3 linked regions of the Diceros bicornis minor genome follow. The protein of the gene in region 3 purifies or fractionates together with the protein of the main gene of each other region. This does not show direct contact. Links are inferred from orthologs where the notes say so. Each region holds a gene or a part of one and is shown on either strand. Other genes may lie near its edges.

Region 1 (7,313 bases), on a different chromosome or scaffold from region 3:
CTGTGCATAAAAATCCAGATTCCTGGATACTCTCAAAAACAAGATCTGGCCACAAGGGGCCTGCGTGCCCCGAGGAGCAATGGCTCTCTCCAGATGGGGCTCTGTGGCTCCCTCAGATCCCCCAGTTCTCACCACCTGTAGGCACTGGGCCCGGATTCACTGTGACCACCAGGCTGCACCCCAACCTTGCCATGAAGCTGCCCCTGGGCGTGCCCTGAGCCCTCCTGCCTTGCTGGCCCCTGGTAACCAGCCAGGCTTAAGTACCCCTCTCTCCCCCATCAGGGTCTCCTCGCCAAGGAGACCATCTGGGGGTGACCCACCACCCAAGGGGACCCTGCTGACTCCCTCAAAGAGGGCTCTGAATCCTTCACTTGGTATTCACTTCCCAGGGCTAGTCCTTGACCCCTTAGGAGGACTGGCTATGGCTGGCCTTATCCTAACCAGGCCCACTGGCCCTACTGTGTGCCCCTACCCCTGGAGGCACCGAGGCGAGGCCCCAGGCACAAACCTCCCTCTCCCCCAGGGACAGGTGGGAAGTCCTCGGGGAACAGGCCTCTCTCTATCTTTACAAGACACTGAGGGACCCTTCAGACCAAGGTCCAGGGGTCCCCAGCCTAAGTCTACTTCACAGCTCAAGCCTTTGCCTCCCCCCAAGGACTCCCCCTCCCCTGCTCTCTTCCACCCACCCTGGGTCTCCTCACCCTGGCCCAGTTTCCCAAAAGTGGCCGACCATTTTGTTCTTCCTTCGGCCATCTTCTGGCTGCCTCACACCCTACCAGCCTGCCTTACTGCGACACCAGACAGCAAGGAGAGGCGAGACGGCTGGCAGCTACCGATGGGGTGGCCACAGCTGGCTGCTGGCTTTTTCCAGGGGCAGGGGAAGGGTAGGGCTGGCAGGGGATTTTTAGGGGTCACTGGGGCTGAGGTGAAACACCACCCCAGGCTTACATGCTGAACGGTATGCCAGACACTTCCGTTCTCCTCTGGATAAAACACAGGATGTCAAATTAAATTTGAATTTCAGATAAACAACGAATAATCTTTTAGTATAAGTATGTCCCAAATATGGCATGGGACATACTTATACCCATCCCCCAAAAAATTTTTTTAAAGTTATTTCATTGTTTATCTGAAATTCAAATTTAACTGGGTGTCCTGTAATTTTATTTGCTAATCTGGCAACCGAGCGTCCCAGACAGTGGTGAAATGCATGGTTGGTGGCCACGCAGTTAATAAACAACCCAGAGCCTCCAGGACCGACTGGAAGACCCGTTCTAAAGGCACAGCAAAGGTGAGATTTGGCTTCTCCGGGCTGCAGAAACCCAGGAAATAAGGTGAAGTCTTTTTTGCTTACAAGGGGCAGAAAAAAAAGAAAAAAATCAGCAAAATGCAAGTTTCCACAGAGCCCACTTTACAATAAGGAGTGCATTTAATGACGCCTCCTGTGTGCAGAGATAAGTGCTCTGGGGACACAATCTTACCCCAGGAGGGGAGACAGTGCAGGACCCCCCTCGCTGCCATGGTTAGAGAAGTTACATGCTTTGCCCAAGGTCACAGGAAGGGGGTGAACTGGAAACCCAGCCATGAGATCCCAAAGCCTGAGGTCCTTAGAGGACGTGACATGTTGTTTCCCAAAACAGGAGGAGGAAGGGAGACATGCTCTCCTCCCCTCCCCACAAACACATGCTTGGCCCACAGTGGGTTCAGCAGCACTGAAGGCCTCCAGGCGGGCTGCTCTGGGGCCCAGCAGGGTGCAAAACCCCATAGCTCCATCTGCCCTCCCTGCAGAGCAGCTGGTGGGCGGGCCCTACAGGAGCAGCTGTCAGGGTGCAGGGGCCTCTGCCCGGCTGGGAACCTGGGGCAGAAGGCCCCACCATGCCTCCTGGAACAGAGAAAGGCAGCTTGTCCCCAGCCCCTTTCTCACCTACAGGCCCAGACACCAGTTCTTTCTTTGCACAGGCGCTAAGGCAGGGGACAACTCCAGCCTTCCCTCTGGGGATCCGGTAGGAGAGGGGGTTGTGGGCTTGTTTTCCTGTGTGTGTTTTGGCCTGCAGCTGTTTCTGCCATTTTTAAATGGCTTCAGTCGGGCACTGGGCGCCCTGCACGCCGGGGGAGCTCCCACAGTACCGAAGACTTGGATCTCAACTTTGGAAGGCCTCCCCTTCTCACGGTTCTGAAAATTCTTTGTCCCATTGGAGCCAAACCCAGCCCTCGGCCGGGCATCCGGCCATCTGCAGACAGCCCTTTCCATAGGAGGCCGGGGAGCACGTGGACTTTATTGATTTTCCTCTTGCCTTTTTTGTTGGGTTTGACTCAGAAAGGACAGCTAACTTGTGACACGGTTAGACCGGAGGCTCGCCCCCAGCGGTTTTTAGAGACCAAGGCGTTACTCAAAAAATGACACCCCTACCCATAAACATACCCGCCACGGGGCCGGCCCAGTTTTTAGGCTCTAAATAAAGGGTCAGGACGAGCCCGCGGGCGCTGACACCCGAGCACGTCGCGGCTGCTCCTCTCCCTCCCCGACCCTGGAGAAGCCGTGGGAAAAAAATAATAAAGTTGAAATCAGGGAACTGGGAGTTTTCAACAAGTCTGCCCCAACCTGGCGATGTGCTCGCGCCTCCGGCCTGCCTCTCGGGCCGACCCCGAGTCAGACCCGCGGAGGCCGCGCATCGTTCGCTCGTGTTAATTACAACGAGGCCACGCCGGGCAGAACCCAACGCGAGCCTGAGGAACACGCATGGCCACCCCCGAAGCCCCCTTCCCCCCGGGCCGAGAACAAAAACAACGGCTCTCTCCGCAAAACAAACACGAGCCGCGGGTTTGGGAAAGGCAGACGCGGCCCACGACCGGTTTCTGGCCAAAAATACTCGCTCGCCCGAGCCCCCGAGTCCCCGCGCGCGGTGCCCGGCTGAGCGGGGTGGAGGGTGCCCAGCGCCCGGGGCCCGCGGCCGCCGCCGGCGTTTCCTCCCCGCGCTCGCCCCCATCTTTCTTCCTCGCCGAGAGCCCTCGCTCCAGGCAGCCCAAAGCGCTAAATTTAAACGGCTCGCGCTCTGCAAACTCCGCAGACTCGAGGGCGCCGGGCCTGGGAGGCGGGGAGCGAGCGGGCGAGCCAGCGCGCAGGGAGGGAGGGAGCGAGGGAGGCCGGCGCGGGCAAGGGCGCGGGGGCCGGCGCTGCGCCGCCCGGGGCGCGCGGGGAGGAGACGGAGACGGCGGCGGCCCGCTCGGTGCCTGCACAATGGAGCTCGCGCTCTCCCCTCCGCCGCCGGCATCACGGCCCCGGCGCGCGGGAAGCCGCTTTCATGTGACTTGCACAAAACGAAATGGCTTCTGGGGCCGGCCCCGAGCCCCCCTCCCGGGAGCCGAGCGCCGCGGCGAGGACTGCCCGCCGTCCACCGCCCGGCCCCGGGCGCCCGCCGTCTCCAGGCTCCGCCGCCGCCGCGCCAGGTGGGCGACAGGCGCGAGCGCACCTGGGCAGCGGCCGCGGCCCCCGCCTGGCGCAGGTGACCGGGCTCGCGCGCCGCCCGTCCTCTCCAACTCCTGGGCCCGCGGCGGCCCGGGGCGCTGCGCCCCGCCGGTTTTTTGTATGGGGGCTCGGGGTTCGGGGCGGCCGCGGCGCCGGCGAGGGAGCGAGCGAGGAGGCGCCTCCGCTTACCATTTGCGCACTTTCTCGATAGCCGCCATGACCCTCTTGATATCATCTTTGGCCCGGCTCCTGGTCTCGGCTCGAACCGACCTGCCCGACATGGTTCTGGCGGGGAGAGAGAGGCTGGGGAGCGCGCCCGCCGGGTCCTGCTCGCGCTCCGCGGCGGCCACACTCGCGCCCGCCCGCCCGCTCACTCACTCACACACACAGACACACACACACACTCACACACACATACACACACACAAAGCCTGGTGCCGCCGCGCGCCCGGGGCCCAGTGCGCAAGCGCCGGGCGGCAGCTGCACCGAGCAGGGGGAGCAGCGCCGCCGCGGCCGCCAGCAGTGCGGCCTCCGGGCGCCGCCGCCGCCGGGCAGCCCCACGAGCCCCCTCACCCACGCGGGGAGGCGCCCGCGACCCCCCTCCCCGGGGAGGCGGCGAGGGCTCCCGGCGACCCCCGGCTCCGGGCCCGCGGAGGGGGAGGCGGGCGGGCGGGCGGACGTGCGCGCAGACACTTACTCGGAGGCCGCAGGTGCCGAGGGGTCCCCCGGGGAGGGCGGGCCCGCGGGGCGGCCGGCCGTGGAGGGGGCGCACTCCGTGGGAGCCAGCTCGCCTGCCCGTCCGCTGGCCCGGGTTTGTGGCGGCGGGTGCAATAATGCAAGTTTCCTGTGGGGCTCCTGACTTCTCCGAGTTGAAGGCGGCGACTCGGGACGCGAGGTGCTCTTGGAAAGAGTTGAGAAACACGGATCTCTGCTGGCCCGGTGCCCCCTTTAAATACGCGAGTAGGACGTCGCTTCCCTTTCCTTCGTCCTTTCGGAAAACTCGGGTCGGAGGAAAGGTGCCTGGGGTGAGGCAGACCACGAGGGACATTCGACTTTGCTTATTAAATAGTTTTCGGCGCAGGAAAGGCTCAATGATTATCAGCATTTCAACAGGGGCGCTTCTTTTCCCCCTGGAGATAAGTTGCCTTCAACATAAGTGAGGTGAGGGGCCCGCGCTGGGGTTTCCGTAAGGGAACCACCACTTAAATTTAAGCGACTCCTCTGACTTCAGTCCCAGGCTCAGACCAGAAGCTGCTACCGCACAAATGACCCAAGCAGGGAAAATGGACCGGCCCGCCTACAAGGAGGACTTCTGAGGTGGTTTCTTCCCCATCCTGCCTCAGGACAGCTCTGGGAGGAATCTACAATTACTATCAGGATAACGCAGGTGCCGCATCTCCGCATCTTCGTGTTGGTGTTCGCAGCAGCTAAACCGACTTGACCAGAACTTATTCATGCCCTAGTTTCCCCAGATGGAGGCCGGGGAAAGCCCAGTGCCTTGGAGATAAACTAGCCCAACACCAGTCATTTTACACGCGGGGAAACTGAGTCTCAGGGAAGTTCAAGGTCACAGCCATAAGCTAGGTCTCTGAATCCCACTTATTCTAGAATCAAGCAGTTTCCCCTGAGGTTTTGGGTTTGGGGAGAAGAGCTACTAGGGAAATGGAGTACCTAATGTGAAAAATGAAGATAAGAACACTTACCTCAGGGACGGCCCAGTGGCTTAGCGGTTAAGTGTGCGCGTTCCGCTGCTGGCGGCCCGGATTCGGATCCCGGGCGCGCACCGATGCACTGCTTCTCCAGCCATGCTGAGGCGGCGTCCCACATACAGCAACTAGAAGGATGTGCAACTATGACATACAACTATCTACTGGGGCTTTGGGGGAAAAAGTACATAAATACAATTATTAAAAAAAAAACACCTCAGAGGATCATTCTGAGAGTTATATGGGAAAATATGTAACAGCAGGTTGTAAAACAGAGGTCTCATACTGTTGGCCCTCTGACTATATCTGGCCAGCAGATATATGCTTAGGGCCACACAGAACTTTTTAAAATATATATTTGAATTTACAATAGGAAGGTATATCAAAAATCCAAATATCAACTGATCAATGTCTACACAATGGAATATTATTCAGCCATTAAAAAGGAATGAAGTATGGACACATGCCACAACATGGATGAACTTTGCAAACATGCTAAGTGAAAGAAACCGATCACAAAAGAACAGATATTGCATGATTCCACTTATGTGAGATATCTAGACTAGGCAAACCCATAGAGACAGAAAACAGATTGGTGGTCGCCCAGGGGCAGGGGAGAGGGAGAAGGGGAGTGACTGCTAATGCATATGGGGTTTCCTTTTGGGGTGATGAAAAAGTTCTGGAAGTAGATAATGGTGATGGTTGTACAACATGGCGAATATACTTAATGCCACTGAATTATACACTTTAAAATGGTTACAATGGTCAATTTTATGTTATGTGTATTTTGCCACAAGAAAAAGAAATCAGAATATCTAGCTTCTCTAGAAATAGAAGATCTGCAAACTGGGCCCCCAGTGCCACATGGCAACAATCAGCTGGAGGGGAGGAGCCCAGTGCCACTCAGACAGAGCTCTCCAGGTCACTGTGTGTCACTCAGTCACTTTACTCATTTGTGTTACCAGATGGCCCCTGAAGGTATTTGTGGTTTTGATCTCTGATTAAACTGTAAAACTTGCTACAAATGTTCTTTATAAATCTAGTGTGTCCCTTTTTATAGTTTCCTGTCCCCTGTAGATATTTTTAAACTTCTTTCTTTCATCAAAGCACAGTGGTTTTAAAGTCTGTGTCTGATAATTCTAGTATCTGAGGTTTTGGAGGGTCTGTCTCTGCTGGTTCTTGCTGCTGGTGTCCTATTTCCTTGTGATCTGCCTGGTTCTCTTGGACCATGCTGGACACTGTGTCTTAAAATTTATTTGTACGGATAATTGGAGACCTGGGATGAAGTTACCTTCCTGTAGAGATGCTTTACATTTGCTTCTGCCAGCTCTTGAGGGCACTGCTGGTCCAGGACCACCCACATCCAAGTTCAGGGCTTGTGGTTCCTGGGACCACCCAGGTGATGCAAATATAAGCTGCTCAATTGAGCAAGACTGGTTTGCTTATTGTACCCTGAGTTGGGGTCAGTGTTGTGGGGCAGCTGGCTGACAGGCCTGCGCTTCCCAACTCTGTGTTCAGTGACTACATGCTGACAGTCTGAAATCAGCCATGGCAGGAGTATTGACACTATGGAAATGGGCAAATGCTATCTATACATCAGGACCCTTTCCCCAACCCCACCCGGCGCCAGTTGGTAAATATTTACCAGCATACCACTGGCGGAGGCTGACGGGGTCCTAAATTATCGTGGGCAAGGTCTTGTCTCCCACCTAGTGTGGCCCCTGGACTCTGATTTCTGGGCTGTTCCCTCAAAAAAGCCATTCACACTTAAGTTTGAATATTTTAGGCTTGGCAATTATCTGCAGGATTAAAGTGGCATCCTTGCCGATTATCTTTCAGTGTTCTCTTTTTCCTTCAATTTCGGCTACTCCTTACTATCTTGTCAGCATGTAGTAGCTTTTAGGATGTTTTTAAATACTTTTTCTCGCATTTTTAGTTGCTTTCAGCTTGAGAGTTCATCTGAATAACTAATTACCAGAAACTGGAAGTCCAGCTCTCTCTGAGTGTTAGTTGTTATTCTAGACATGTTAAAAGAGTGATCCGAGGGTTACAAGAAGGCGGTTATTGAGTTACGTTTGTGTCTGAACCTCTCTGTGCCTCATCTGTAAAATGGGGATGAACACAACACCTGCCTCGCAGAG
Region 2 (7,313 bases), on a different chromosome or scaffold from region 3:
GCCCAGTGTGGTGCTAGGCAAGGCTGGGGCCCCTGGTCTGCCTTCAGGAGCCCACAGCCTAGTGGACAGACAGACACACAAACCAACCATCTCAGACAGCCTGATAAATGCCGAGACAAAGGGAAGGGAGCACAGGAGGTTGTGGGAGCCCAAAAGGGGAGAAACGGACTGAGCCTGGGGTCAGGGAAGGCATCCTGGAGGAGGTGGTGATTGAGCTAGGGACAAGTCAGACTCAACCAGAGGTGTGGGCAGGGGTTCCAGTGGAGGAATGACTAAGCAGAGGCAGGGAGGCCTGATGCTGTAGCTTCCTGAGGGCAGGGAATGGGTCGAGTCATCCTAGGCCCCAAAGTCCCTCTGGGCCTCCGTGTTCCTGGGTATGAAATGGGAATCGTGGGCCTAGCTGCCCAGAGCTTCAGTAATTGCTGGGCCTGGGGGAGGGCTGAGCAGGAAAAACAGGAGTTCTGGGATTCCCAGAGGAGGAGGGCTGAAGGTCAGGAAGAGTCAAAGTAAGGGACAGAGCAGGGTAGAGGGGGTGTGGGCAGGCAGGGTCCTGGCTCAAGCCCCCATTCTGTGTCTGACTCATGCTGTGACTATAGGAAGGTCCTCTGAGAGCCTCAGTGACCCCATCTGAGAAATGGAGCATGAGACAAAACTGTCTCCAAAGACCCTCCCCAGCCCTGACGGGGAAATGACATGACACAAAATTACAAAAGGGTCTTTATTTGTAAAAAGCCAAAGGGACCCCGGGGGCGACAGGACAGGCAGGCCGGCTTCTCAGGGGTCGGGGGCATTTGGGCAGATGCGCTTGAGTGGGGGGGCGCCCTCCGAGTCCTCTGTGTCACCCTGGGCTGCCTCGGGGACAGGTGGCACTGGCTCAAAGACAGGGTAAGCTTCGGGGGCCTGGAGAGGAAGGGTGGACAGGCATGAGCTCTACCCAGACCCAGGAGTGCAGTCTCCTAGCCTCTGCCTTCTCCAAGGCCTCCACTCCACTCCCCTCCCGGACCCAGGAGTCTAGCCCAGGGCCAGGGACCCGGGATGCAGATTACATAGGGCACCGGAAACAACCACAACACTGTTTTGGGGAAAGAAGTTGATACTTGATATTTCTGGAAAATGCATCAAGGTAGTCCTTATGGGAAAAATCAGAGGTTTATGGGGGACTTTCTTCAGCTAATTTTATTTATTTATTTATTTGGCTGAGGAAGGTTGGCCCTGAGCTAATACCTGTTGCCAATCTTCCTCTGTTTTTTTGCTTGAGGAAGATTAGCCCTGAGCTAACATCTCTGCCAATTTTCCTCTATTTTGTATGTGGGTCACCGCCACAGCATGGCTGATGAGTGGTGTAGGTCCGCGCCCAGGATCCGAACCCGGGCCACCAAAGAGGAGCACGCCAAACTTAACCACTGTGCTGCCACGGGTCCAGCCCTTAAGCTAATTTTATAGTTTAGGATTAAAAAAAAAAAACTTGGAGGAGCACCATGATCTTTTCAGGCTTTTAATGGTCTTAAATCAGCCCCGATCCAGCCCACAGATCTTTATTTCTAAACACCCTTTCCTTTTCAGTCCCAAGAACCCAGCCTCTAAGCCTTTAGCTGCGTCTGAGGTCTACATTTCCTGCCTGGACCTCAGGAGTACAGCCTCCAAGCCTTCGGCTGCCCCAGAGCCCCCATTCCCTCAAAGACCCAGGAGTCCAGCCTTCTGGCCTCTCTCACCTCAGCCTCCAGCAATTCTGGAACAGGCTCCTCCTTGGTCAGCATTGGGGGTTCGTCGGTGCCGCCTGCAGTTATGCCCCCAGGATCTGGAACGTCAAGTTAACAGACATTCCCTGAGCAGCCGCTCTGTGCCATAGCGCAAACCAGGGGGAAACAAACACCAATCACATAAGCCCACAGGCTGTGGGAGCACTGAGGAGGGAGCCAGGAACCTGGCTGCAACCCAGGAGGAAGACACAGGAATAACATTTAGGTGGGATCTTGACAGGTGAGTAGAATTTGATCTGGCAGACAGATGGGGAGGTAGAGCACATTTTAGGCAGAGGGAACATTTGCTTAGCCAGCACAGATTGTGGGGCTGGACTGCCCAGCTTCAAATCCTGACCTGACTTAATTTCTCTGGGCCTCAGTTTTCCCATCTGTAAAATGGAGATAATGATAGTAATTACCATGTGAGGATTAAATGAGAGAATACAGGTAAAGCCCTTAGCACAGTGTCTGGCACGCAGTTAGTGCTCAGTAAATGCCAGTTACTGGTTTTATGTTAGCAAAGGTATACACGTGCCGGGCACAGTCTAGATACAGTCTGTAGGCCCAAGGCATGGTGTTCCTGGAAGGGAACAATGAGGTCAGCAGGGGACAGTTCAGGAAGGGCCCAGAGTGCCAAGCTGCAGAGTCAAAGGCCATAGGGAGCCACTGAAGGCTCTGAGCAGGAAAATGACCCAGTCGAACTTGTGCTTTAGTTGCTCTGGCAGCTGTGCTGGGGCGACTGGAGGAGAGGAGACCCATGAGGAGGCTGGAGCCAGGAACAGGTGAGAGAGATGACAGCCCGGGGAGGGAGAGGAAGGCAGACATATTTGGGAGGTGGCACTGACCAGACGGGTGATTGACTATATGGAAGAAAGAGCAGTGAGGACGACTCATGCCCAAGATGCTGGCTCATTGGCTGTGAGCTTAGGCAACTCACTTAACTTCTCTGGGTTTTGGTTTCTCGTCTACAAATGGGGATCATAACAGGATTATAACCCTCAGAGGGTTGTAGTGAGGATTAAATGAAATAAAACACGTAAAGTGCTTAGAAGGGTGCCTGGCACACAGCAAGAGCTCAATAAGTAGTAAATGTTATTAGCACTTATTTATCACTCTTAGGATTATCACTATTATTTATTCCTCAACAAATATTTATTGAGCACCTACTATGTGTCCCAAGTTGTTCTGAGGAGACAATAGTGAACAAGATCAACATGGGCCCAACATTCAGGAAGCTGACATGAGGTGGGAATCAGAGAGAAAGACATTTAAGTAGTAAAAAGTTAAATTTACATGAAAATCTCGAATAGTGATAAATATCTACAGACCCTAAGAAGCCAGAGGAAGGAGACAGACAGTTGTCAGAGGTAGGGCAGTGACTTCCCTCGGGAGTCAGGGAAGGCCTCCCTAAGGAGGCAACACAGGATAGGGAGCAGCTGTAGGAGTAAGCTGGTGGCTTCAACTTTGGAGAGGACAAGACTCAGAAGAGAGGGCTCCTGGGAGGCAGCTGGTCCTACCTCTCTCCTGGCCCAGCCGCGGGGGCTGAGCGTCCTCCAGGACCCCTTCCGGTGGTCCGGCAGGTGACACAGGGCGGCTGGGCTGGGGGGTGCCCCCAGGGCTGGGCTCAGTGCCCTTTTGCAGGGAGCCTTCCGAATGGAAACTCTGGTTACTGTTCTCATCTGTGGGAGCAAAAGCCAAGAGGGTTGGGCCTGAGGCCCTCAGTCCCCTCACTCAATCCCCACAGCCCCCCAAATTCCAGGATCCCTACATACCATTGAGATCAAGCAGGATGAGAGGGCCACCCCCTCGGGGACTGGCACCCCTGCCCCGACGCTCCCGGCCTCGAGATCTCTCTGCCCCACCTCCTGCCCTCCGTCGCTCCTGGGGGTTAGAGGGTAAGGGTCAGAGCCAGCTTTCTAGTCAGTACTTGCAAAGCCCCCACTGTACAAATAAGCAAACTGAGGCACAGAGAAGCAAAAGGCCCTGCATGAGGTCACAGAGGTTGTGCACACGAGGTTAGGTCTTGAACTCAGGGATCTGGAGTAGGAAGAAGGGAGAAGGGGTGGAGTTGCTAATAATTGTTAACATCTGTTTGGGCTGCTGCATTTGAGGTCTGAGTGGGGACTGGAGATGGAGGCCAGGGTGGGGAGGGGCTTGCCTGCTGTTGCACAGATGCAGGGCCTGGTGTGGGGGAGCTTGCTCACCTCCTCCTGGGGGTCCACCACTGGCACCCACTTGAAGATACGAAGGGAAGTGTCGCCCACAGTCACCCAGCGCTTCTCCCTGTGGGAGGGTGAGGGAATTGGGTCAGAGAGGCCTGAAAAGAGATCCCCCCCAGGAACTGGACACATCTGGGGATACCAGCAGACGTGTGGGTGGTGCACGAGGGAAGGGGCAGTTTTGCTAATAGGGCATAGTTAGAGGAAGAAAGAGAGCTCTGCAGACCCCAGGACATACATGGGCCCAATGGGCCATGGCTCTGCAGACCCCTGGGGTATACATAGGGAGCGCGGCCACGGGCCGGCTGGAGAGGGTAGCAATGAAGATCCCGGGGCATACTTGCGGGAGGAGTGTCAAAGCTTTAGGGGGCGGGGCATATATGGGGGCTCTTGCTCTGGGAGGGCATGGCTGGGGAACACGCTTTGTACACCCCAGGGTGTAGCCAGGAGAAAGGGGACACAGCCCTGTAGATCCAGGACGCGGCTAGGGGGCACACCTAACAACTGGGGGCCACAGCTGGCGAAAGGAGGGTAGACGCATTTGGGGAAGGAGTGGCCCCGCCATGCCCCGTCCCCGGCCCCGGGGCAGCGCTCACCATCTCCGGACCTTCTCGATGGTCGCCATCACCTTCTTGATGTCATCCTTGGCCCGGCTCCGGGTCTCGGCCCGCACGGTCCGGCCGGCCATGCTGGCGGGGCTGGGGCCGAGGCCGAGCCCGCGGCTGGGCCGCCTCCCGTCCGGCGGGCTCAGGCTCGGCGCCAGGCCGGGACGCCGCTCTCTCGGCCTGCCGTCCCTCCGGGAGTTGGCCGCGCCCTCCCTCGCTCCCCAAAGCCTGCACGAGTCCCCGCCCCGCTTCCTGCCGCCGCGCCCCGCCCCGGCCCGTCCCCAGAGCGGCCCGGCGGCGCGGGCGGCCAGAGCCCAGGCCTGGAAGCCGGCCGGCCCCGCCCCGACCGGGCCCGCCCCCTCGGGGCGCCCCGACGCGCAGCGCCCCCTGCCCGCCGCCGAGAGGGAGGTTGGGGGCAGCTCGAGGAGTGGACGAGAGCGGCAGGGCTGAGGCGGTGCGTTCAGACCACGTGGACGCCGGGGGTGGGGGTGGGGGGTGCGAGACGGTCTGGGTACCGGAGCGCGTCCGCTGCGCGTGAGTGTCCTTGAAAGGCTGTGTGTGTGTGTGTGTGTCCACCCCCGCCTGCCCGACTATTCCTTCATCCATTCTTGCAACTATCTATTAACTGAGTGACGATTGCGTACCAGACACTGCAAATATGAGTGGGTCTCCACCCACCAGAATGACTAAAATGAGAATGACGGACCATATCAAGTGCAGGCCAAGAAGTAGAGCAACTGGACCTCTCCTATTTCTGGGGGAGTGTAAATTGGTAGTTTTCTAGTGGAGACGAACATACACCGACCCTATGATCTAGCAATTCCACTCCCAGGTCGTCAACAGAAATGCGTAGGTATGAGCACCAAGAGAGTGTACTGGAATGTTCATAGCAGTATTCATATTAGCCTCAAACTGGAAACAACCCATCAACAGGAGAGTGGAAAATGAACTATAGCTTGTTCACACCATGGACACAGCAAGAGAATGATGTCCTGCTACACCCAACCACAGGGACAAATCTCATGAAAGAAGTCAGATTCAACAGTAAACATTGTATGATTCCATTCATATGAAGTTCAAAAAAAAGGCAAAACTAATTTATGGTGTGAGAAGTCAGGATAGTGGTCATCCTTGGGACTGGGAGGGGCTGAGAGGGGGCTCGGGGAACTGGTCCTATTCTGTTTCTTAACCTGGTGCTGATTCCCTGGGGATGTTTACTCTGAAAATACATTGAGCTGTACACTTACAATGTGTGCGCTTTTCCCTATGTATATTATACTTCAATTAAAAGTTTACTTAAAATGTATCTTGGTTGATTTTGAGGCTGTTTGCCAGCAGATATGACATGTCTAAGTTTGTGTTGCTGTGTGTGCATGTGTTTAGCTATTACGTAGCTATGGTGTCTGTGTGTTTTGGTGTGACTATGTCCAGAGGGGTTAAGGTATAGGAAGGTGGTTATGACAGCATTTCTGGAGCCAAACTGCCGAAGTATAATCCCAGCTCTGCTTGTCCAGTGACCTTGGACGAGTCACTTATCTCTATTTCCTCAACTATAACATGGGACTGAATTAATATGTATATAGCTCTTAGAACAGTGCCTTGCATATTGTAAATACCCAAGAAATAGTCACTGTTAATAAGTGTGTGATTGTGGCCCCTACCATCAGTTGCACCTGCTGTGCCCTCTGCCAGTTAATCTCTTTCTTACTTTATTCTGGCAGTTGTCTGCTCATGGCAATATCCTCACAGACACACAGGCCTCCTTCCTAGTCCCTTCACTCACAAACCTCATTACCTGCTGTTGCCTATGGTCTCCCCCAACATTCTGTGAGCTCCTCAGGGGGCCAGAGACCAAGTATGGATCATCTCTGGGTCCCAGAGCCCAGGACAGAGTGGGTGCTTGGGAACCATCTGTGGGGATAAGTGTGTTTGCACCAGGTTAGTGGGGTTGACATACAGGTATGACCCCCTGTACCTGTCTCTTAAGCTTGTTCCTGTGTGAGAATGAAGGTCTGTATGCATTAATGCTTCAGTAGGTGTGGGTGTGTCAGACGGGTTCTCTTACTGGGCCTGGTAAGGTGAGGTGAGGTGAGATGGTATCTGTCTCCCTCCTAGTAGATGTGACAACGAGAAGGAGGGCAGAAGGTATCTAAGACACGCCAGGAGGTGTATGCCGGGGCAGGTGTGGCCCAAGCCTGAGGGCCCCCATCGCGGCCTCTCTCACACCCCGTTCCTCCCTCCCCCCCAGCCAAGAGGAAGGGCCAGCACATTCCTGTCCTGCCAGCCCCGCCCTCTCCTATCCCCTCAGCTTTTTCCCATAAGCAGCCCGGGGGCCAACCTTTGCCCCAGGTCGGAGCCTGAGCCTCCTCCTCCCGACGTGACGCAGGTCTGCCTCCCAGGTCCCGGCACCCCCAGCCTCGAGGTCCCGAGTCAACCATGCGGACAACCTGCCGCCCTTCTCAGGCCCCTTTCCCAACTAGGCCGCGCAGGCAAGGAGCTGAGCTCAGGGCCAAGGAATCCTGTCTAAGGCTTTGGCGGGGGAGGGGGATTGTTTGGGGTCTGAGCCCTGATTGGCTGCGTCCGGGCCACGCCCCTACCCCTTTTCCCCTTCTCCCCCCTCGGACCGGGGGCGTGGAGGCAACCGGGATCAGCCAGGGGCCAGCATGAGCCGGAGGGAGGGAAGTCTGGGTAAGGGGCTGAAGGGCCAGGTGCCAAGTTCCCGAGGGGAACAAAGGTCAGAAGGGCCG
Region 3 (7,313 bases):
CTCCTGAGTCCTGATTCCTGTGCTCTTTACCCCTCACCACTCTGCCACACACAACTTGATGTGCATCAGCAATGATAATGACCAACCTAAACAAGGAAAAACTCAGAGATAAAAGCCATAGGAATCAAGACTCCATTTCAGAGACCGAGGTATCCCAGCTCACTGGCAGGAAAAAAACTATTCAGTGCCAATATTTTACCCCTATTTGCATGCTTTAGTTGCTTCTAGAATTTTGGGATTTGAAGCCAATCAATACAACCTTTTAGGGGGTGGGAAGAGAAAAGGGACCTGACCATTACTTTGATAGCCTATTTCCACCTTTTAAAAAAGTTCACTAACCTCTTTGCAAAAGGCCTACTGTAGACATCACACCCTATAGGAGTCAAGCCAACATATGAATGGTTAATGCAATCCAAGACATCTTCTTACAGTGGGTGCCACTTTTCATGGTTACTCTGTATCATAAACAAAGGAAGGAACCTAAAAAAGTCCTCACAGGGCCCAATACAAAGAAGCCAACCTTGGTCTGGCTGCTTTCCCTGTTCTCTCGCCACCCTCCCAACCCCCACCACCCCGCAGTTCTCTCATGGACAGTAGAGAAACATGAAGCCCCCACAACTAAGTGCCACCTCAGTATGGTTTTCCTAGTTCCTCCTACTTGAGAGAGCTCCAAGAGTCCTGTATTTCAGCCAGCCCAGAATTTCTGCCAGTAGGCATTCCCATGGTAAGTCCAGGATTCCTGTATTTGTTTCCCAGGAGTCAGAAATATCATTTGATATTTCCATAGCAGGAACTAACAGCCAAACTTCTACAATCAAATCCATGTTGATCCTGGACTACATATTCTATCTCATTTTTTACTTTGGTGAGCTGGTACTACTCTCGAGGTACTACAGCTAAAAGCATCCCAAATAAAAAAGCTTTACATGAGGTTCCAGTGCACAGGAAACTGAAAAGTATTTCATCAATAGCAGGATTCAACACTGTGAGACACAATACTACTTATGGAAAGCAACAAAGGAAAAGTTTGTCTGCTGGGATCTTCCCAGCTCCTGTGAAAGACATAGCCACGATACACACACCCAGTCTTTATTTCATAAAGGCAAAGTCAAATGAGAACATTACCACCTTAGCTGTGTCAATCAAGTCTCTGTAAAATACTCTTAATCCAAGACTGAGTTAGGGAAAGAAGGGGACAGAGCAAGACCCTATTATTTAAGAATGCTTAAGAATAGGGCATCATGGTCTGAGACAAGAAGTTTGTCCTTAAGTAGAAAAGAGGAATTCAGAACAAAATCGATCCACCTACAACCCTCATCTAGACTACATATCTGAAGCAGCCCACAAAACTGGAAGTTGCACTGTCTCTTCCAGAAATGCATGCTCACCAGCCCATTCTCTGGGTCTCAGAGAATGAACTGAACTGAAATCGAACAGGAGGAATCTATGTTGTGTGAAGTGCTGGGTCTGGTGAGGTTAAAAGGGAATCAGAAAATTCACCCAAAGGCAGCACAGACAAGCTTCCAAACAGGGACTGTATCTATTTTCTTATCATTTATCCAGCACAGAGCATAGTATCCAGCAAATAGAAAGGCTCAAATATATGTTTAATGAAGGAAAAACAGAAACCACTATAGGGCAGAAGTTGGTTTTATAAAAAAAAAGTATTTGCCCAAATGTCCCCAAACCAGCAGAATTCAAATTAATTTTTGCTTTTGAATGAGCCTGGACTTACCTCAAATAATTTCCTCTAATAGTTTAAGAAAGATAAATATCTCAGCCACCTCCCCCAAAAAGGGGAAAGAATGAGGTGTAGACTATAGAATGACCCAGAGACAAGATGATGTTTTGTTTTCTAAGACCAAACTGATCCTCTAGACACTAGAAATCCGATTTAAAAGTCTCCTATTTCTTGCCCAGATGTAGAACATCATGGAAAACATGGAGTCAAGACACAGAACTCTAAACCTGCCATCTAACACAACTATTTTCAAAATTCCCAGCTCAATGGAAGAGTAGAAAAGCAGTCCTAGGATGGGGAGGGAATACAGCTAATTAGCCCGCCTAAGTAAACAAAATCTTGTAGCACAAAGGTACAATTGGGTACTGCTGGGAGGAGGGGACACGAACAGAGCTTTTTTACCTCTTTGAAAAGTTACATGACTCCATAGACCACCCAATATTCCTGACCAAAGCACTGAAGACAGAAAACAATGAAGACGGAAGAAGAGCAAAACAACAGTAAGATAGAATGCATAAAAACATACCTAAAAGTTGTCATTTCTAAGCAAATCTTTAGTGTCATTGTAAAATGTACGTTTACTATCTTGGAAGATAGAAAAAAACGGAACATACTTTAAAATGCAGAGAGAAAAACTGGTCAACCTCTATTTCAAAGCTTTAAAACGACTGATGACAAAAAAGAAAATTGGCCTTTTTGATATTCCAGGAACAAAGGACAAATTTCACCAAACCAAGGCTTTAGGAGAAAGTCCCTCTCAAGATCATGAAAGATGTTAGCTTCCCTTTAAATTGAGCTGCTCTCCCAAAGTTCAGTTAACAAAAGAAAAGTGTTAACAAGATTCAACACCTAAAGAATGAGACCAGCCATCCTTAAAACACTTGAACCTAATAAGAAATCTCTCTCAGAAAACTTACAGTTCTCAAAAAAAAAAAAAAAAAATTCCCCTATCCCCTCTCATAAAGATCCTAGTTTGCCACTCAATAAACAGCCCAGTAAAATAATTTCAATTCTGCAAAGCCAACAGGGTCAAAATTACTCAAGACAAATGCATCTTCAGAGCTATCAAAGAAGTCATTTATACTATCAGGAAAGTCACAAAACCAAAACAAACAGCAAACCCATTGTAGAGAAAAACTCAGCTACTGTTCTGACAACACAGAATCTATTTCAGGCTGCATAAAACATAACAAGCAAAATAAATCCAAGGTACACGCAAAATGCCACTGCCTCCTCTTTTGTTTCGGGCACAATGTAACAAGGGCAGCCTGTCTAGGGCTCTGCTCCTGCTGATACAGTATTGCTGCTTAAACCTCCCTCCTCAAGGTCACAGCCAATTTCAGTTCTGGAATAAAAGGCAGATAGTGGCAGCGATGGTTTGGGTTATCACTGGCAGAAAAGCAGAGTGTAAAAGTTTATGAGCTCATCAGGATTGTTGTACCATTACATCAGAGGCAATTATAAATGGCCAAGAGCAGGAGATGGGGAGCCAATCAGATCACAGATAGGATGTCAACCTAAGACCAACTGTCTCCTGGCTTTGACAGAAGGATTTTACCTCCATAATTCAAATCCCAAACCAAAGCAATCTGCACTTACTACTCCAATCACTCAGCTGTTTACCAGCACTTCCAGGGAGAAGCCCAGGCCACTGGGCCGACGGAGACTAAGACAAGAGATGGCCCGGGCTGCCCCGGGTGAACCGCAGCCGGCCTCTAGCTGCCCCCAAGCAGGCCCCTGCCCTCCTTCGAGGTCCCCTCGAGCCCGAGGGGCCCCTCCTTGAAAGCACAGATGGGGGACGGCCTAGAGGAAGGCAGGGGGGGCAGAGAGGAACGGCAGGTGAGCAAAGAACTGTTCACTCAACTTCCGAGCTCCTACCACTGCCTACACCCCTAGCCTAAGCCCCCAGAACCCCCTCACCCCAGGCAGGACCCTTCCCCGCACACTCTGCCCCGCACCCCCTTGAAGATCCTCGGAGTTCGGAGGGACCAGGGGAGAGGGAGAAGGGGAGCAGACACCTCAGGGAAAGCCCCACACAAAGGCTGAAGGAGAGAAGGAGAGGAAGGCAGACAGGCAGCCATTTTAAGAGAGAAGAGCCAGACAATGGCAGCTCCCCAGTAATGGGGGCCCCGGACTAGGGGTAGCCCACGGCTGCGGCCTGCTCTCCGCAGCCGCCACCCACTCCCAGGACCCCGCTCGCCCCAGCCCCCTCCCCCACTCAGCTGTGTACCTGCGGGGTCCGGGCGAGCGGCTGGCCCCCGCCGCCGCTGCTCCCGGGGCTCATGGGCGCGTGGTGGCTCCTTTGTTGGGCCCCTCCCGAGGCGGCTGCCGCCGCCGCCGCCGCCGCAGCAGCAGCCCCCCAGCACTGCGAGGCCATGTCCGCCGGGCCTTTGCCGGCGCCCCCGTCCTGGGGCCCGCCGCCGTAGTCGCCCCCGGGGTAGCCCTGGTAGCCCCGGGCTGAGCTGGGCGACGTGAGCAGTTGGTTGAGGGTGGGGGTAGCCGTGGGCTGGGGGTTTCCCCCGCCGGCCGCGGAGGGGCCGCCTCCCCCCATGGCCCCGAAGCGCTGCTGAGCGAAGGACGACGACGACGAGGAGGCGGAGGCGCTGGAGGAGGGAGGCGGCTTGGAGCCGGCGGCCGCCGCCGCGCCGGAGCCCGGAGTGCCACCTCTCGGGGAGCTCAGCGCGTAGGCCTGGGGGGGCGGGGGGTAGGCGCTGCGGTTGGGGTAGTAGGAGTTGTACTGGTGGTTGGGGAAGCCGTGGTCGTGCGAGTTCTGCTGGGGCCCCGCGTAGGGCTCCAAGCCCCCGCCGCCGCCGCTCTGCAGCGCTGCCAGGCCAGGGCTTTGTTGTCCGCCATGTTGTTGGTGGAAGACGGCGGCCGCCGCGGCGGCGACGGCAGACGGGCTCCGGCCGTAGGGTTGCCCGAAGCCGTAGGCTGGGGGCGGCAAGGCGGCCGCGGCTGAGTGAGGAGGCGCCCCCACCCCATCACTGCTGCCGCCACCGCCGCCGCCGGGCGGCTCCGTGAGGTTATTGTTCAGGGCGGGCCTAGGGCCCGCGTTCCCGTTCGAGTTCTTCAGGTCCGGCTCCGCGCCGGGCCCGCCGCCGCCTCCGGCTCCGCCGCCGCCGCCACCCCCATTGCTCTCGGCCCCGTCCTGCAGCTCCTTTCCCAGCGGCTGCGGCGGCCCCACGGCGGGGCCCTCGCTTTCCTGCCCGGCGGCTGCCTTCATTTCCCCGCGCTCGGCCGCTGCCGCCGCCGCCTCGCCCCCTGCCTCCTCCCGCTGCTGCTGCTCCGCTTTCTTCAGCTCCGAGGGCGGCGGCGGCGGGTTGCCCAGGCTGCTGGCGGCGGCGGGGGCGACCTGCGCGGCCATGATCCCCGCTGTCTCGTCCGCGGAGAGACCCGGCCCTGTCTTCGTCTTCTCCCCCCCTCCCACCCCGCCCCGGGGCTGAGTCCCCCGGGCTGCCCTCCCCACCCGCCCGGGCGGGCCTCGCGGGGCTCCGCTGCTGCGCTGCGCTCGCTCGCTCCTCTCCCCCCCGCCCCGCCGGCTCAGGCTCCGGGCTGGCGGCGGCGGAGGAGGAGGAGGCGGCGGCGGCCGAGGCGCCGGCGGCTCAGCTGCTCCCGGCTCTGTAGGCTCGGGACCCGGCTCTCCCGGCTCATTCCCCCCAAGCCCTTGCCTGGGAATGAGGGGGGCGGTGGAGGCTCCGCTCCCCAGGGCCTGGCCCCGCTGTGACTCTCCGCTTTCTGCTGCCGGAGAAAGGAGGAGGGAGGGAGGGAGGGAGGCGAGGGGGAGGGGGCGGGGAGGGAGGGAGGGAGCGGGGGGAGGGGGACCCGGGACGGGCGGGCTGGAGGGCGCGCGGCAGCAGCCCGGGTGCCGGGAGGCAGAGTCGGAGCGCAGGCTGGACCGGACGCCCTGCCTCCCCTCCCCGGCCGCGGCGCCGGCCGAGGCTGCTGCGCGGCAGCGGGCGGGCGAGCGGGCGGGCGGCCGGACTGAGCGGCTAGAGCGCCCCACTCTCCTCCGAGTCCCCCTCACTCCGACACGAGGCTCAGCACTGCCATTTTACCCAGCGCCGTCGCGGCCGCCTGGCAAACCCGGAACGGAGTGCGGAGCGGGCGCAGGCCGTGGAACGGACTCGCTCCCTTCCCCTCACAAAGGAGGAGGGGAGAGAACGAGCCGCGGCGGCGGCAGGCCCTCTGCCGCTTTCGCTCGGCAGCGCCGCCGCCGAAGGCTTCGGGGAAAACCCGGCCCGGAGCTCGCGCGTCTCCGGAGCCTGCGCCGCCTCCCTCCTGGCGTTCCTATCCGGGTCGGTCCCCTCCAGGCCGCACTGAGAGGAGCGGGCGGCGTGAACTTTACTCGCGGCTGCAAAATTGGCCTGAGCCCGAGACCGCGGCCGCCTCGGCCCAGGCCTGACCCCCTGGCAGCGGGCCTGGTCTCTTGGCTGCTTCTTAGCACCTCTACAGCACTTTTCTTCTTCAAAGCCTTTTAGAAACCCGCTCTAAAGACCCAGCTGAGTGAGCAAAGTGGGGCCTTACGTTGTACCCCCTTGGCAAGCCGAATGGAATGACAGATCATTGTTCAGACTTTCCATTTTCCCACTCCCCTGCCCTCATTAGCCTGTCCTCACAAGGCCCTGGGGGCATGAGGTCTGAATATACCCATTTTACAGAATTAATAAACAGAGAGGAGAGGACTGCCCTGTCACTTAAAGTCAGAGGGCGGCTTTAAAAAGTAGCAGAATCCCCAAAGCTGCCCTTGTCCACTTAGCTTTAAAAAAAAAAAGTGGTCAATCCACTTTGTGGATTGTGCCATATCCAACAATGGGATAAGAGTATCAGAATGGGTTTGAGATCAAAGCTGGTCATCTCAACACTGACTTGAAATAGTTGCCACTGAAGCTACTTTGGGGGCATATGACAGCCTTCTAGCAGAAGAACCCAAGCTCCATCTTTGCCTCCTAAGAGAACTTAGCCCACAATGAACAATAGCCCCAGTCTCCAAAGATAGTACCTGTAAGACTATAAACAGACCACAGAAAAGGCTCCCAGGACTGGAGGAACCTGAGTGTTCAAAGGGACCACTGCAGAAGAGGGATGGCCAAACCGAGGTAAACCATTTTCTCTTTAAAGAGAGAAAAGGGGCAGTCTAACAGGTCACTTAGAAAATGGATGCAACCCAAATTTGTTTTCTGTCCTCCAGCTTAAAGATTCTTCAGAGTTTACCATTACACTCTAAGAGATGCTGATTGAGCTGGAGGCATACATAAGAAAACTCCAGATCTACAGGCCCCACCAAATCCCAGCAACAGCCTTTTCCTCCTCAGGCTGATTTGGAATGCTCTGACATGACAGGCTACAAAAGCCAGAGGGGATTCCAGCTCCTCATCAGGCCGAAGGCTGCCTTGGGAGAGGCCCAGGCCAGTGTAGTCACTAGACACCAGGGCCTCCTTTCCCCTTAGATTTTATAAAATGGAGACTTTATTGCCATAGAACCATTATCTTAGAACTTCCAGATTCTGCAGGCCCCTGGAGTTCTGGCCATCCCACTGGTCACAGTGAATAATTCCAAAAATCTGGACTCATT

The links.
Region 1: the proteins of ARID1A (region 3) and BCL7A purify together in Homo sapiens (affinity purification with mass spectrometry; 5 studies listed by BioGRID and IntAct, counting the BioPlex papers as one, with this or other methods). This does not show direct contact. The link is inferred for Diceros bicornis minor from reciprocal best matches to the Homo sapiens genes ARID1A and BCL7A.
Region 2: the proteins of ARID1A (region 3) and BCL7C purify together in Homo sapiens (affinity purification with mass spectrometry; 5 studies listed by BioGRID and IntAct, counting the BioPlex papers as one, with this or other methods). This does not show direct contact. The link is inferred for Diceros bicornis minor from reciprocal best matches to the Homo sapiens genes ARID1A and BCL7C.

The regions. Positions count from the first base shown.
Region 1 is NC_080774.1:8,031,402-8,038,714, forward strand, and holds the start of BCL7A (B-cell CLL/lymphoma 7 protein family member A), read right to left. Parts: upstream 4,684-7,313; 5' UTR 4,164-4,683; intron 3,911-4,163; exon of another isoform or gene 3,752-3,910; 5' UTR 3,748-3,751; coding exon 3,656-3,747; intron 1-3,655.
Region 2 is NC_080765.1:21,106,892-21,114,204, reverse strand, and holds BCL7C (B-cell CLL/lymphoma 7 protein family member C), read right to left. Parts: upstream 4,805-7,313; 5' UTR 4,650-4,804; coding exon 4,558-4,649; intron 4,026-4,557; coding exon 3,947-4,025; intron 3,624-3,946; coding exon 3,515-3,623; intron 3,422-3,514; coding exon 3,260-3,421; intron 1,799-3,259; coding exon 1,713-1,798; intron 901-1,712; coding exon 775-900; 3' UTR 705-774; downstream 1-704. Other genes in the region: CTF1 (cardiotrophin-1), read left to right, coding at 7,230-7,254. UniProt on the Homo sapiens protein: May play an anti-apoptotic role.
Region 3 is NC_080752.1:42,500,757-42,508,069, reverse strand, and holds the start of ARID1A (AT-rich interactive domain-containing protein 1A), read right to left. Parts: upstream 5,136-7,313; 5' UTR 5,106-5,135; coding exon 3,972-5,105; intron 1-3,971. UniProt on the Homo sapiens protein: Involved in transcriptional activation and repression of select genes by chromatin remodeling (alteration of DNA-nucleosome topology).